Linked DNA regions of Rattus norvegicus. The protein of the gene in region 1 interacts with the protein of each later gene in a biochemical or structural test. Links are inferred from orthologs where the notes say so. Each region holds a gene or a part of one and is shown on either strand. Other genes may lie near its edges. The genes, in order: Stam, Arrb1 and Usp8.

Region 1 (3,648 bases):
CGCTAAGGAAGTTACATGTCAATATATGTACATAACATTTGCCACAGCAGTTTCTGATCATTTGAGTGCTGCAGACCAGGTAATTTTACAAGACAATAATCTTGTAACAATTCTTCATATCATGAAAGGAAATAAATGTTGTAAGTAGTTTCATTCCTCGGGGGAGGAGCATTCCTCTAAAAAGTCAGTGCAAACTGAAGCAGTTCTACCTTCTTGAGTATTTGAACTTGACCAAGATAGACTCTCACAAGCTGAGGAAAACAAATCTTAGGATGTTAATGAATTTCCTAACACTGTCAGTGGCACTCAGCAGAAATAGGCCACCCAGAGCAGCATCAAGTCCTATAGCAGAGCCTTCTGAGAATATGCTTGCTGTGGCTGAGGTGGCTGTTGGCTGCCTCCTGTGTGAGGCAGGGTCGATGACGTTAAGGTATAGTTTGGCACCTGGGACATGTTAGGTCCTGGATTCTGGTAGATGGTGACATCAGCAGGCACAGGCACTGCAGTGACAGCGACAGCGGCAGCAGCAGCAGCAGGACTGTATATTGAAGCCTGGCTGGGATACGAATTTCCTTGAACAGAACTAACCATTGCACTGTGGAGGGAGGAAAACACTGGATTAGCTAAATAATGAATTATGCATCCAATTCAGAGATGAACAGGAAAATTATTAAACAGTTCATCTGACAATTTATTAAATAAGTGCAAAGTATCAAACACTGTTATTTAAGCACTGGGATGCTATCAAGAAAGAAAATGAGTAGCTATCATTACAGAGCTTACATTCTGGTGGGAGAAAAAAAAGATAGCTAATAAATTTAAAGGATGCCAATGCTTAAAATCTCAGTAAAGAAAAACAGGGATCGGCAAATACCAGAAGTCTGGTAACCAGATTCTCGCTTATGTAGGGTGTTAGAGGGAGGCCTTTCAGACAAGGCTTCATGCAAGGGAAGGTCTTGAGAAAGCAGAGGAACTCCATCAACAGTCTAGGAAAGGCACACAGTAGGCTACAAAAAAAAAAAAAAAAAAAAGAAGCCTTTGAGGTTTTGTAATGCCATGTTCAAAGAACAAAAAGGAGGCCAAGGCATTCATACAACGTGCCGAGAAAGCACATGTGGTATAAGAGATAAAGGAGCTGTTAGGAGGGCTACAGAAGGTCCAACAAGTTCCTTAGAAGCCACAGGGTTATGCATGTGAGTCAAGTGAAACAAGCACTGGGTGGTGTCTGAGGAGAGAGGTAATGAGATAGGACTTATATTTTTGACAGGCTCACATGGGAACAGGAACAGATGTGAGAGCTGGCAAGTGCCCAGAGCCATAGTGGAGACAGGAGAGAAGGGTCACACCCTACTTTGAAAAAAGAGCCATTGAAATTTGATAATGGACCAAGTAGTTTAGTATGCCTGGTTTTGTAACTGATAAAAATAACTGGAATGACCACTTACTAAAAGAAGAAAACTACACTTGGGACTACAGCTGACTGGAACAAGAGAGGCATGGGCAGGCAGAACCAACAGTTTTGGACACCTCAAGTGAGATGTCCAAAAGACACGTAAGAAAACACATGCAACCTGGTGTCCCAGGGGAGAGAGGAGTGGAAATAGACACTAAGAGTCCTCATTCAGAAACACGGGGCTGAATGAAGTCCTCAGAAAGTGACTGAAGAGAGCGAGCAGAGCAGTGCATGCGAGTCCTCCACTCTCTGACGTCAGGAACATAAAGGTGTACCCGACAATGGCACGTGAGGAGCAGTAACCAGAAAAGAAAGCCTGACCCAGCCTAACAAGGGCCTGACCCAGGAACACGCACCAAAAACGAACAGGAAAGAGACTCACTGTAAGAGAGGTGGGCCTGGGGTTTGAGCAGAGGGTCTGGACGTCGGCACATCCTGACAGAATCATCTCAATGGACTAGTGAATGAAAGCATGGCTGCCTTTGTTATCTCCCTAAAGGTTTAGGCTAAGGACATCCTACACACCCCCACCCTGGCCACACCTACCCCTACCTGGAACTGTAACTAACTGTTCTGGTTGGCGCCGGTGTCTAATGTGCCCAGCCTGACATGCAGTGGAGCACTGACGTCACCTCTAAGGAACACCTGTCCCTTCCATACGTTCTGTGAGGTGTGTCCTTAAATGTCTGGCCTTCTTGGCTGGTCTCCTCTCTGTTCTCTAGTTAGTTCTTGGCGCGACGTCATTTTCTCTAGGACACCCCTGCTGTCCGTCTCTATTGCTCCTGGTACCAGCAGATTCGACGTGTGCTCCTACCAGTTTCCTTGGGTGGCTCCCTTCCTGTGTCTATGCCTATAAAACTACAGCAGTTTCAAGAGCCAGGACGGAGTTTCTGTCCCCTTTTTACAGCCATCTCTTAGGACATGACTTACAGCAGGAGCTCAGTGACTAATGAGAAAGCGCCAGTGCCCACAATTCCAAAGTCTACATTAGGACAGAGGTGAGGCGACGGCTTTCAATCCCTTGAAGGCGTATCAGAGACTCCGAGGTAATCTGAGAATTGATATATATTTGTACATGTATAAAAACAAGTGTCTGCTCAGGAGAAGAAATAAGGCAAGTGCTGGCAGAGGAAATGGAGGATCTGGAAAGGAAAACGAAGGAAAACCAAGGCCTGGTGTGAGTCAGGAGTGCTATGTATCTGAGCTTTCGGCTGTAATTCAAGGCCATGCAGATTTTCACCAATTCACTGGCAGGTTGTCCCAGCCCTGGAAGGTTATTTCCTTTTTGTCTTTTTAAAAATTTTTATACACTTTAATTAAAATAAAATTATATCTCTGTCCCTCTTTCCTCCCACCAACCCCTCCTACGGACCTCTCTCTCAAGTTGATAGCTTCCTTTTCTCTGACTATTGTTATATACATGTGTGTGTGGGCACAAACACATAAATACAACCTACTCAAGAGTGCGCTTTTGTTCTTTGTTTGCGCATGGTTTTAGGGCTGACACCTCTGGAGTAAAGAAGCAACAGGGAATGCATGAGAGGCTGTTTTCTCTTCCTCTTCACACAGCTTTAATTCTAGAAGTAAGCACTTTGCAGACATCTGTCCCCAGGACATACGGAAGGCGCTCACTCAAGAGCCAGTACTCAGGTAATGTTCTAAGCTACCTACCGTGGGGACAGTATTTTGAGAAGAGAGAAAGGATGAAGCCACCATAACTTACAGATCTATTATCACTGATTTGGTTTGATGAACAGATGTTTAAGGATTTAATGAGAAATGAGATATAAAATGGCGGTAGAACACTGGCTTCATATACAAGGTTCTAGGCTTGATCCTAGCACTGTGAAAATGTGAGGCTGGGGGGTGGACATGGACAAAAGCAGCTTCTTTAGACTATGAGCTTTTCTATTTGACATGGGCTAGTCAAGAAAGGTCTCACTAAGAGAAGGGAGGAACTGACATCGGTAAGTACTTCCCAAGTCAGGGGAAAAGGGTAGATATTTTTGTACGCCATTAGTACAGTTACTGAGGGGTTAAAGTAGATGATAGGATCAGAAAGAAACACCACAGAGACACTGGTGAGGAGGACCGAAGAATGAATGGACCAATCTGAGTTGATGAGAACTGCAGTAATTGGATAAACTCATTTATAAGGACAAAAAAAACTGTGCAGCCATGGTGATTAGGTAAGA
Region 2 (4,411 bases), on another chromosome or scaffold:
CCCAGAGGCTAAGAAAGGGCAGGTGAAGTTACAGACCGTAATCCATTTTCACTTAGCTCTTACCATTGCCCAGATGTGGACCACCCTGCCTATCCATTAGCCTCTACCCACCCCTCCCCAATCTGGACATAATTATAGTCGTTATCCTGGGATATTATTACCAACTCTATAAACAGCACACTCTATGTAAACAGCATAGGTAACTCTTCTGAACATAATTACAGGAGATGTTTCCAGACCCGCAATTGCATCAGAGTAAATGATAGCTTCCTTTCCTATCGTTAATACTCCGATATTAGGGACCTATCAGTGCCAATTAGTCAAACCCCAGCAGCAAGCGGCTGAGAAAGACCTTACATTCTCCCACTTCCTGCAAAGCAAGAAGGAACCCCTTAAGATCCCTTCCAGGAGAAAATGGATTAAAATCCAGAACCCTTTCCTACCCCTCCTTAGCCTCTGGACTCCACCCTCCCACTGCACACCTGCTACTTCCACAGGGGTAGGAAACTTGGGGAAAGTCAAGATTTCAAGGATAGCAAGAAAGCTGCAGACAGTAAGCTCTGCTGGACACCACTGTGTGCAGGTGCCTGCCGGCAAGAACAAGTGAATTCCTTCACCTATAGAACAGGGCATCTGCTGGTCTTAGGACCCAGCCAGTAGATCTGGAATGGGCTGAGATGGCTGATGTCTAGAGTCATTGCAGGCAAGTAAACTAGGCCTGGGTGCTAGCAATGATGCTGGATGCTCCGGTCACCAGCTAGTTGGCTCTTGGTCCCTGCTTTATCTTCTGTTCTCACAGCTTCCTCTTTCTGCCTGCCCCTCCCCTCCTCTTTCCACTCTCATCTGCTCTCCAGCATTGCAGTCCGCTGCCCGCCCCCACCCCTTCTTCCTGTCCCCGCTGTGCCGTTGGGTGGTATCTCTCCAGAAGGGCGGGGGCGGGGAGGGTGGAGCAAAGGGCGAAGGCCTGGCTAGGCTTTTGGAATCTTTTGCTGTGTTCACACACAGGGGCGCCGCTGAGGCTGGGCCTTGGAGTCTGCGGATTTTCCGCTTGCATCTATCCGCAGACACAAAGGCCAGTCCTGGCTTGCGCGGGAGAGCGCGCTTGCACCCACGATTGTGAGCACACACGCACAACTGCACAAAGACGTGCTATCTCTGCACACACACACACACACACACATACACACACACACAATCTCTCTCTCTACCCCTCCCCCCTTCTCCCGACAGGCTCGCGCGCACAGCCGTGCACACGCACCAGCACTGGCACGCGCTTGCGTGCACGCACTCTCGTGGACCAGCCGCGGCCGGCCACCCAGCCCTCACTCTCTGGGCGCGCACACGCAGAGCGGCGCACGGAGCCACACACGCGCGCTCACACCCGCACGCTCCACGCCCCTGGCGGCGGCCGGGGCGCTGTGCTGCTCGAGCGACGGGCGGGGACCCGGGCGGGGGCGGCGGCGGCGACAGCGGAGGAGGCGGAGCGGGGTAGCCGGGAGCGGGCTGGCCCGCGCTTCTCCTGGCGGCCGGGGATTTTCCAGCCTGGACGCTGACGCCGCGGACCTCCCTGCGGCCGCCGCGGACCATGGGCGACAAAGGGACACGGTGAGTGCGGGTGGCCGCCCTGTCCCGCGTGCGCGTGGGGACGACCTGGGCGAGGGCACGGGCGGAGGTTCCAATCAGCGTCACCCGGGATCTGGCACTCTGTTGTCCGCCCAAGTCTCTTGTGTGGTCTCTGGCCAGAACCATGTGTAAGGACGGAGGCACCCAGGATGGGCCACCCCACTTGGTTCAAGGCTCCTGGCCGAGACGAGCTCACACAACCAGCCCTGGCTGGTCGGTAGACTCGAGGACGTTCTGGGGCAGGCTGACACACGACACACACACTCATAAACACATGAACACCCTTCTGCTGGCACACACTGACAGTCGCTGCCACACTTCGCATTTGTGACACGACAACGTCACACGCGGTCTCTCACGCACACACTAGTCTGCCAACACATTCCTGCTGTCAGTACTGTTAGCATACACAGGTCCCACTGGAACACGCACCAGCTCTAACACACCTCGTGTTGCCACGCACATCTGGGCATACACCAACATACGTATCCTGTCACCTGGATGCTGCAAAGCACGGTCTGGCTAGTGCTTGCAGTCTGTCAACCCTCTCTGAAATGACACGATGCAGCCACAGGTCTTAGTGACACATCAAGGCCAATCACGCACATGCACAGCAGAAAATGCCTGCAGGGCCTGACATCTCTAGGGCAGTGGATACACTTCACTTCTGACTCCCCATGGCCAGACCAGAAACACAGGTCAGAGTGGGAGACTTTGAGACCTGGAAGGCAGGTCCCATTCACATGCTTTCCTTCCCCTCTGACCTCCAAAGCACATAGCTAGGGGCTACATCTAGCTGGGGATGGTGGTGGTGAGGGAAACTGTTTTTGTAGATCCTGCCTTGAAAGGAAAGGTTAGGCCCTCGAAATGGAAACTAGGTCAAAGTAGGAAGGCTAGGGAGGGGCAGGGAAGCTCTTGGGGTCAATCCTTATGACCTAGACCAGCCCTAGTCAACTTAGAGTTTACCTTCCTGGCCCTTGAGAGTCTCCTTGCCGCCCTTCCTGGCCCCTCCTCTAGTCTTCCTGCACCTGCTTTTTATCACTGCTTTCCTTATTACTCTTATGTTTGTGTTCTTCTCTCTGCCTTCACTTCCTTTCCTCTGATATTTATTTATTAAGCCCCTGTTGTATACTAGGCATAGCCTCGGTGATGAGAGATGATCAGAAAGGAAGCATCCCTGCAGTCACATGTTGGGGCCCTTAAACAAACTGGTTTTTTGCCCACTGACCCCAGAGCCTTTCAGCAGTGAGTGAAAGGGGCTACAGAGGTTATTCCCATTTCCCAGGAGTAGAAATTGAGGCATAGTGCTAACTCAGATTCCTCATGTTTAGAAACTACCTCCCACCAGCCTCCCTATTGATGGCCCTTCCTGGAGGTTAATTTTCCTATTCTGGTTTCCCCAAAGAGGAACTGAAGGGTGAGAAAGGTCACTTGCCTTGCTGAAGGTCAGGAAGGGGCAGAGGCCACAGCCCACTGTATCTTGTGGCTCTCCTTGGGGCCCTGGGTGTAAAGACTAGCAAGGGACTCACTTGGTGCAGAGGCACAGCTTTGGGAGACTGCGGACAGCCATGAGGTGTTTGCATTCACCTTGAGGGCCAATGCAGCTGGCTGGTCAGCATCGTGACCCAGGCTTCAGTCCTTGGAGGAAAGATGCTTGGATGCATCTCTCTTCAGCCACACCCATCCCCCTCCCCGCTTTGAGACTCTCTGGAACTGTAAGGTTGAGCTTTGCTCCCTGTGAGGCACGGCAGGGAGTCAGCAGCCACTGACTTCTCCTTTGTTCTCCAGTGCTGCTGGTGACCAGGGTGACTCAGCCATGCTGGGCCTCTCTGTAACTAGGGGAGAAGTGTCACAGATTCCTGATACCTTGAATTGTCATAGGAGGAGGACACTCTGGCTGCCAGACACCTGTTGGAGAATCCTGAGGCCACAGCTTTGTCCTTGACTCCCCTGCTGTGCTTCTAACTCAAGGGCAGACCCAGTATTCCCATCTGTACATTGGAGCCATTAGAACTTTGGTTTTCATGGCTCCCAAAAGCTTACTGAGCTCACTGGACATAGGAGTAGGAGTTGCCTATGCCAGGAAATACAGACTAGCTACACAAACTCCACCTGTCCGTGTTTGCCTCCCCTCCCTGGGCCCCTCTAGAGCCATGAATTCTGCCTTTCTCTTTCTAGATCTGTCTGGATATGAAAGGTAAGAAGCTTTCTCCATTGTGTTACATTGGCCATGAGATTTTGCTTTGAGACCTGGAAGGGACATTGCAAATACTCAATACTCTTAGGCTCTGGAGTCATCACATCTATTCCTGTCGGTTGGAGGAAGTGATAATGAACGTTAATCAAAACTGTCACTGCCCTTGCAGAAACCCCTGGGTTGAGAGGAGGCCCAGGGCAGAGCAAGCTAGCACCAACAGGGGTCCAATGAGCACAGGTCATGAAAGAGTGGCTTCTTTGTAGCCTGGGGCAGGAGTTCCCAGAGCTGAATCCCCAGACTATCCATTCCCAGGTGATGGTGGTACACGACACAATCACTTTGGGAGGTGGAAGAGGCATCCACACCAGAGCTGAGCTGGATGTGACCCGAAACTGTTCTGGGTAGTCAAAGCAGCTGAGATTGACCTAGAAGCTTGAGGAGGCTGAGCAGTGGAACTGCAACCAGTGCCCTGCCAGCCCAGGGTGCAGAATGTACAAGGACCGGGAGGTGGGAAGAGAAGCCTGGGGGTGGGGCCTGCGAGAGGAACACAGGCCAGTCATCCCCAGCCCTGGGAAGGTCAGGCTAAGGCAA
Region 3 (3,648 bases), on another chromosome or scaffold:
GAACATGGGCTGGAGAGATGGCTCAGCGGTTAAGAGCACCCGACTGCTCTTCCAGAGGTCATGAGTTCAATTCCCAGCAACCACATGGTGGCTCACAACCATCTGTAATGGGATCTGATGCCCTGTTCTGGTGTGTCTGTACAGTGTACTTATAGATAATAAACAAACAAAGATGTTAGACTATACTTAATAAAACCATGACTTGGCTTTCATAAGCAGAGTCACAAGAGCACCTCCAATAGCTATTTTACTATCTGTTAACTGTGTAATACTTCTTATTAGTACTTGAGTGAATAACCACACTACTTTTCAAATCCATGGTGCACATTCCTAATCTGAGAGTCTCAAACATGGCATGCTGCCACAAGTGGAAAATTGTACTCCATGAGAAAAAAAAAATCATTAAAAAATAGGTATTCAAAAATACTGTAAAAATTCACTTCAGGACATGTATATATGGAAAATAAAAATAATTTTATGTTGAGTCTAAGATTCCAGTCCCAACATGTCTCATTCTATTAAATAAATGTAAACATTCAATTTTATTCTGGGGAGCTCAGCAGATTCCACACAGTACACACATTTGCACACAGGACCAGCACACAGAACACACACACACACACACACACACACACGCGCGCGCGCGCACGGCACAGGCCACACTTACTACAGTCACTGTATCTGAGTAAGGAACACTGGTGAGCAGGCATGTAAACTGCTGTGAAGACAGAAGTGAGTGAAGCTGCGGAGACCCCACTCTTACCTTATTTAGATCCTCGTGGAGGCCATCCATGAGGAAAAGCAGCAGCTCTTGTGAATCTTGCTGGCTGGATCCTGCAAACTGGTCATTAATCTTACCAATGGTGACTTTAAAGTCTTTTGGACTGATGTATCTATACTGTCCTGTCCACAGTGCCTTCATGATTATACCAAATTCTTCTGCCACTTCACCTTTATGCCCCAACAAATTTGACCTGTGCGAGTAAAGTTACGGAAAATAAAGGAACAAAACTTAAGTTATAGTGGGGTCTTGATGTCAGCACAAAACCACACACAACACACAAAGGAATCACTCACCTGCAGGCTTGAACCAAACACATCTGAACCTGACTTTGCTGTGGTCCTCCAACTCATTTTCTTATCCTGGTTGCAAACCCTGCTCCTCACGCACATCAACAGGCTGCAGTCAAAGACGGAAGCTGTAACCCTGACAGTGTGTCTGCCATTTTCTTTGTCCTTATGACCAGAAGTGGGGTAACTACCCCGTATTCTGACAGATGAAGATAAGTTCTCTTTTGCTAATTCCCCTCCTCTGAAGCTGAGTAACAACTGAATACGTCCCTTCAAAATTTGGGTATTGCACATAGACTAGGAACAAGCCCTTAAGGGGCTGAAGAGATGGCTCCGTGTTAGTTAGGAGGAATTGTTTCTCTTGGAGAATACCCAAGTTTGATTCCTGGCACCCAGATGGTGGCTCACGATTGTCCATAACTCCAGCTCTGGGGATCTGATACTCTCTCTGGAGCCCTCAAGCTGCTATCCTCACATATGTACATACTCCTAAAGACACAATGAAAAAACCAAACTGAAAAGGACCTGACGAGGCCATGCCTTGCAAGGCTTTGGGGTTGGGTCTGCTGAAAAGGACCCAATGAACACTCAATCTCTACAACTATGGAAAAGAAGCTCAGCAGGTAAAGTGTTCGCCATTCGAGCTGACAACACGACATAATCCTGGAGTCCACACTGGAGCACTAACTCCTGCAAGCTGCCCTCTGACCTTCACGTGTCTGCTCTAGTTTGTACAGAGCCACACTTAAGATACACACATTTTTAAAAATCAAAATTCTTTTATATAAAACAAAAGTGATTACCTATCTCGCATGCTACAACAAGAGTAAGACTAAACATCCTTCGCACTGGTGTACTGCAGCAGGGCTAAGTCCCCTTACCTGTTGATATCGTCCTGGTAGCAGTTTCGGTTGAAATAATCAGCCAAATGTGGAGCATTGCACAGGCACTGTAATATTGAGTTCATGTAACAAGTATTTCCCAAATTACGAAGTCCAGTAAGAGCTGGTCCAGATCCTCCAAAAACGGGATTGAGGTTCCGAATCTGAGAAGCAGAAAGCCTCGAGATCTCAGCTTTAGGGTAACACGGCGGCCTAAGGAAGAAGAACAAGATGCCTTATGCAGAGCATCTCACGCTGAGTGCACACTGAAGATGCAGACAGCTGGAGCAGCTGTACCACATCAAATCTTGTCCACAATCCACAGGCTAAACTGCTGTGTTCTCTAAGACATTTAGCAACTAGGTTAACTGACTGTGACCCAGGATCCTCCCATGAAACGCATGCCTACCACCTCTCCTATGAGGTCTTGGCTCTAGAGGTGGCCTGAGACAGGTCCTCTAGCTTCCACAGACTCAGCTACTGCCCAATGGGAAAAGCCTCTTTCAAACTTCTCCAAGTGGCCCAGAGACATTAGCATCATGAAATACTCTAACTCAACCAGAATGTTAGAGAATTAAATATGATAAAATCATGTATAATTATAAATTATACATTGACTCTAAAAGGGTAATATGTAGTGTTCTCTCATATGTAGATCTCAGCTGCTAAATATCAAATAGTGTATTTAAGTGGCATTAGGTTGAGTAGAAAGAAACCCATCTATCAGGAAAAAAAAATAAAAAAATAAAAAAATGAGGGGGGAGAGGGAGGGAAAGAACATGAGACATGGATAGATTCCTAGAGGCAGAAGGGAGCGGGGCTGGGAGTTTGGAGTGGGGTGGGGTGTGTACAGAGATTTTTCTTGTAACATTTCCTCAACACTATATATGCACAGCATTTATACTGTAGTAGGTATTAAATATTAAAAAAAATAAAGAACCAGATATTTATACCCTTGCAAATAAAATATACATAAATAAAAGAATATACTAACCATAGAATGGGTCTCAAATGAGGCAAAGGTTATCTGGGTACTACTACCTAACTATGCCTGTAATATTCCACCAGGTCTCAGAGGATGGCCACATTTAAATGAACTAAAATTTAAAGTCATGGGGGACAGCATGGAGGCATCTGCTGGGCACGTCTGGGCTAAAGGTTCCCTGACCAGTGAACCAGTGAACACTCTCTTCCTGATCCCCACTAAGTGTTCCCTACCTCTGGAGGGGAATATAAAAAACAGCACACATCCCAGTTTTCTCTACGTGCTCTTTCTCTGTTCATGTATCTTTTACAGAAGATACATAAGCTGTTAATGAGACAGCTTCAAAACCCTGCCTAATTAATGAGCGTTAATAACATTATAAGGATTTCTAATATCTGAACTGTACTAATTCCAAAAACTCTTTCAAATAGGTCTCTCCCTCGTAAGGTGAATTCTTAGGGAGGGGACCGATTACTTCCTTGGGATGTGCTAGAAAAGATAAATTGAAAACCCTTAGTAATTAACAAATGATATATAATACATGAAAAGAACACCCCATCAGTTATTTATATATACTCCAAACTCCAATATCCAAGGCCCCTGCAGTAAGGATATTCCATGCCTGAGATAAAATGCTACAGTGTCTGTGTTAACTTGTGTACCCCTTCCTGTTTCCTTTAAACCACTTCTGATTATTAATTCCTGATACGA

What was found.
Region 2: the proteins of Stam (region 1) and Arrb1 form a complex in vitro, tested with the Homo sapiens proteins (2 studies listed by BioGRID). The link is inferred for Rattus norvegicus from reciprocal best matches to the Homo sapiens genes STAM and ARRB1.
Region 3: the proteins of Stam (region 1) and Usp8 form a complex in vitro, tested with the Homo sapiens proteins (2 studies listed by BioGRID). The link is inferred for Rattus norvegicus from reciprocal best matches to the Homo sapiens genes STAM and USP8.

Annotation. Positions count from the first base shown.
Region 1 is NC_086035.1:82,070,177-82,073,824, reverse strand, and holds part of Stam (signal transducing adapter molecule 1), read right to left. Parts: intron 596-3,648; coding exon 343-595; 3' UTR 1-342. UniProt on the Homo sapiens protein: Involved in intracellular signal transduction mediated by cytokines and growth factors. Upon IL-2 and GM-CSL stimulation, it plays a role in signaling leading to DNA synthesis and MYC induction. May also play a role in T-cell development.
Region 2 is NC_086019.1:163,248,663-163,253,073, forward strand, and holds the start of Arrb1 (beta-arrestin-1), read left to right. Parts: upstream 1-1,553; 5' UTR 1,554-1,585; coding exon 1,586-1,605; intron 1,606-4,411. UniProt on the Homo sapiens protein: Functions in regulating agonist-mediated G-protein coupled receptor (GPCR) signaling by mediating both receptor desensitization and resensitization processes.
Region 3 is NC_086021.1:134,453,513-134,457,160, reverse strand, and holds part of Usp8 (ubiquitin carboxyl-terminal hydrolase 8), read right to left. Parts: intron 2,166-3,648; coding exon 1,953-2,165; intron 1,181-1,952; coding exon of another isoform or gene 1,018-1,180; exon of another isoform or gene 981-1,017; intron 975-980; coding exon 764-974; intron 1-763. UniProt on the Homo sapiens protein: Hydrolase that can remove conjugated ubiquitin from proteins and therefore plays an important regulatory role at the level of protein turnover by preventing degradation. Converts both 'Lys-48' an 'Lys-63'-linked ubiquitin chains.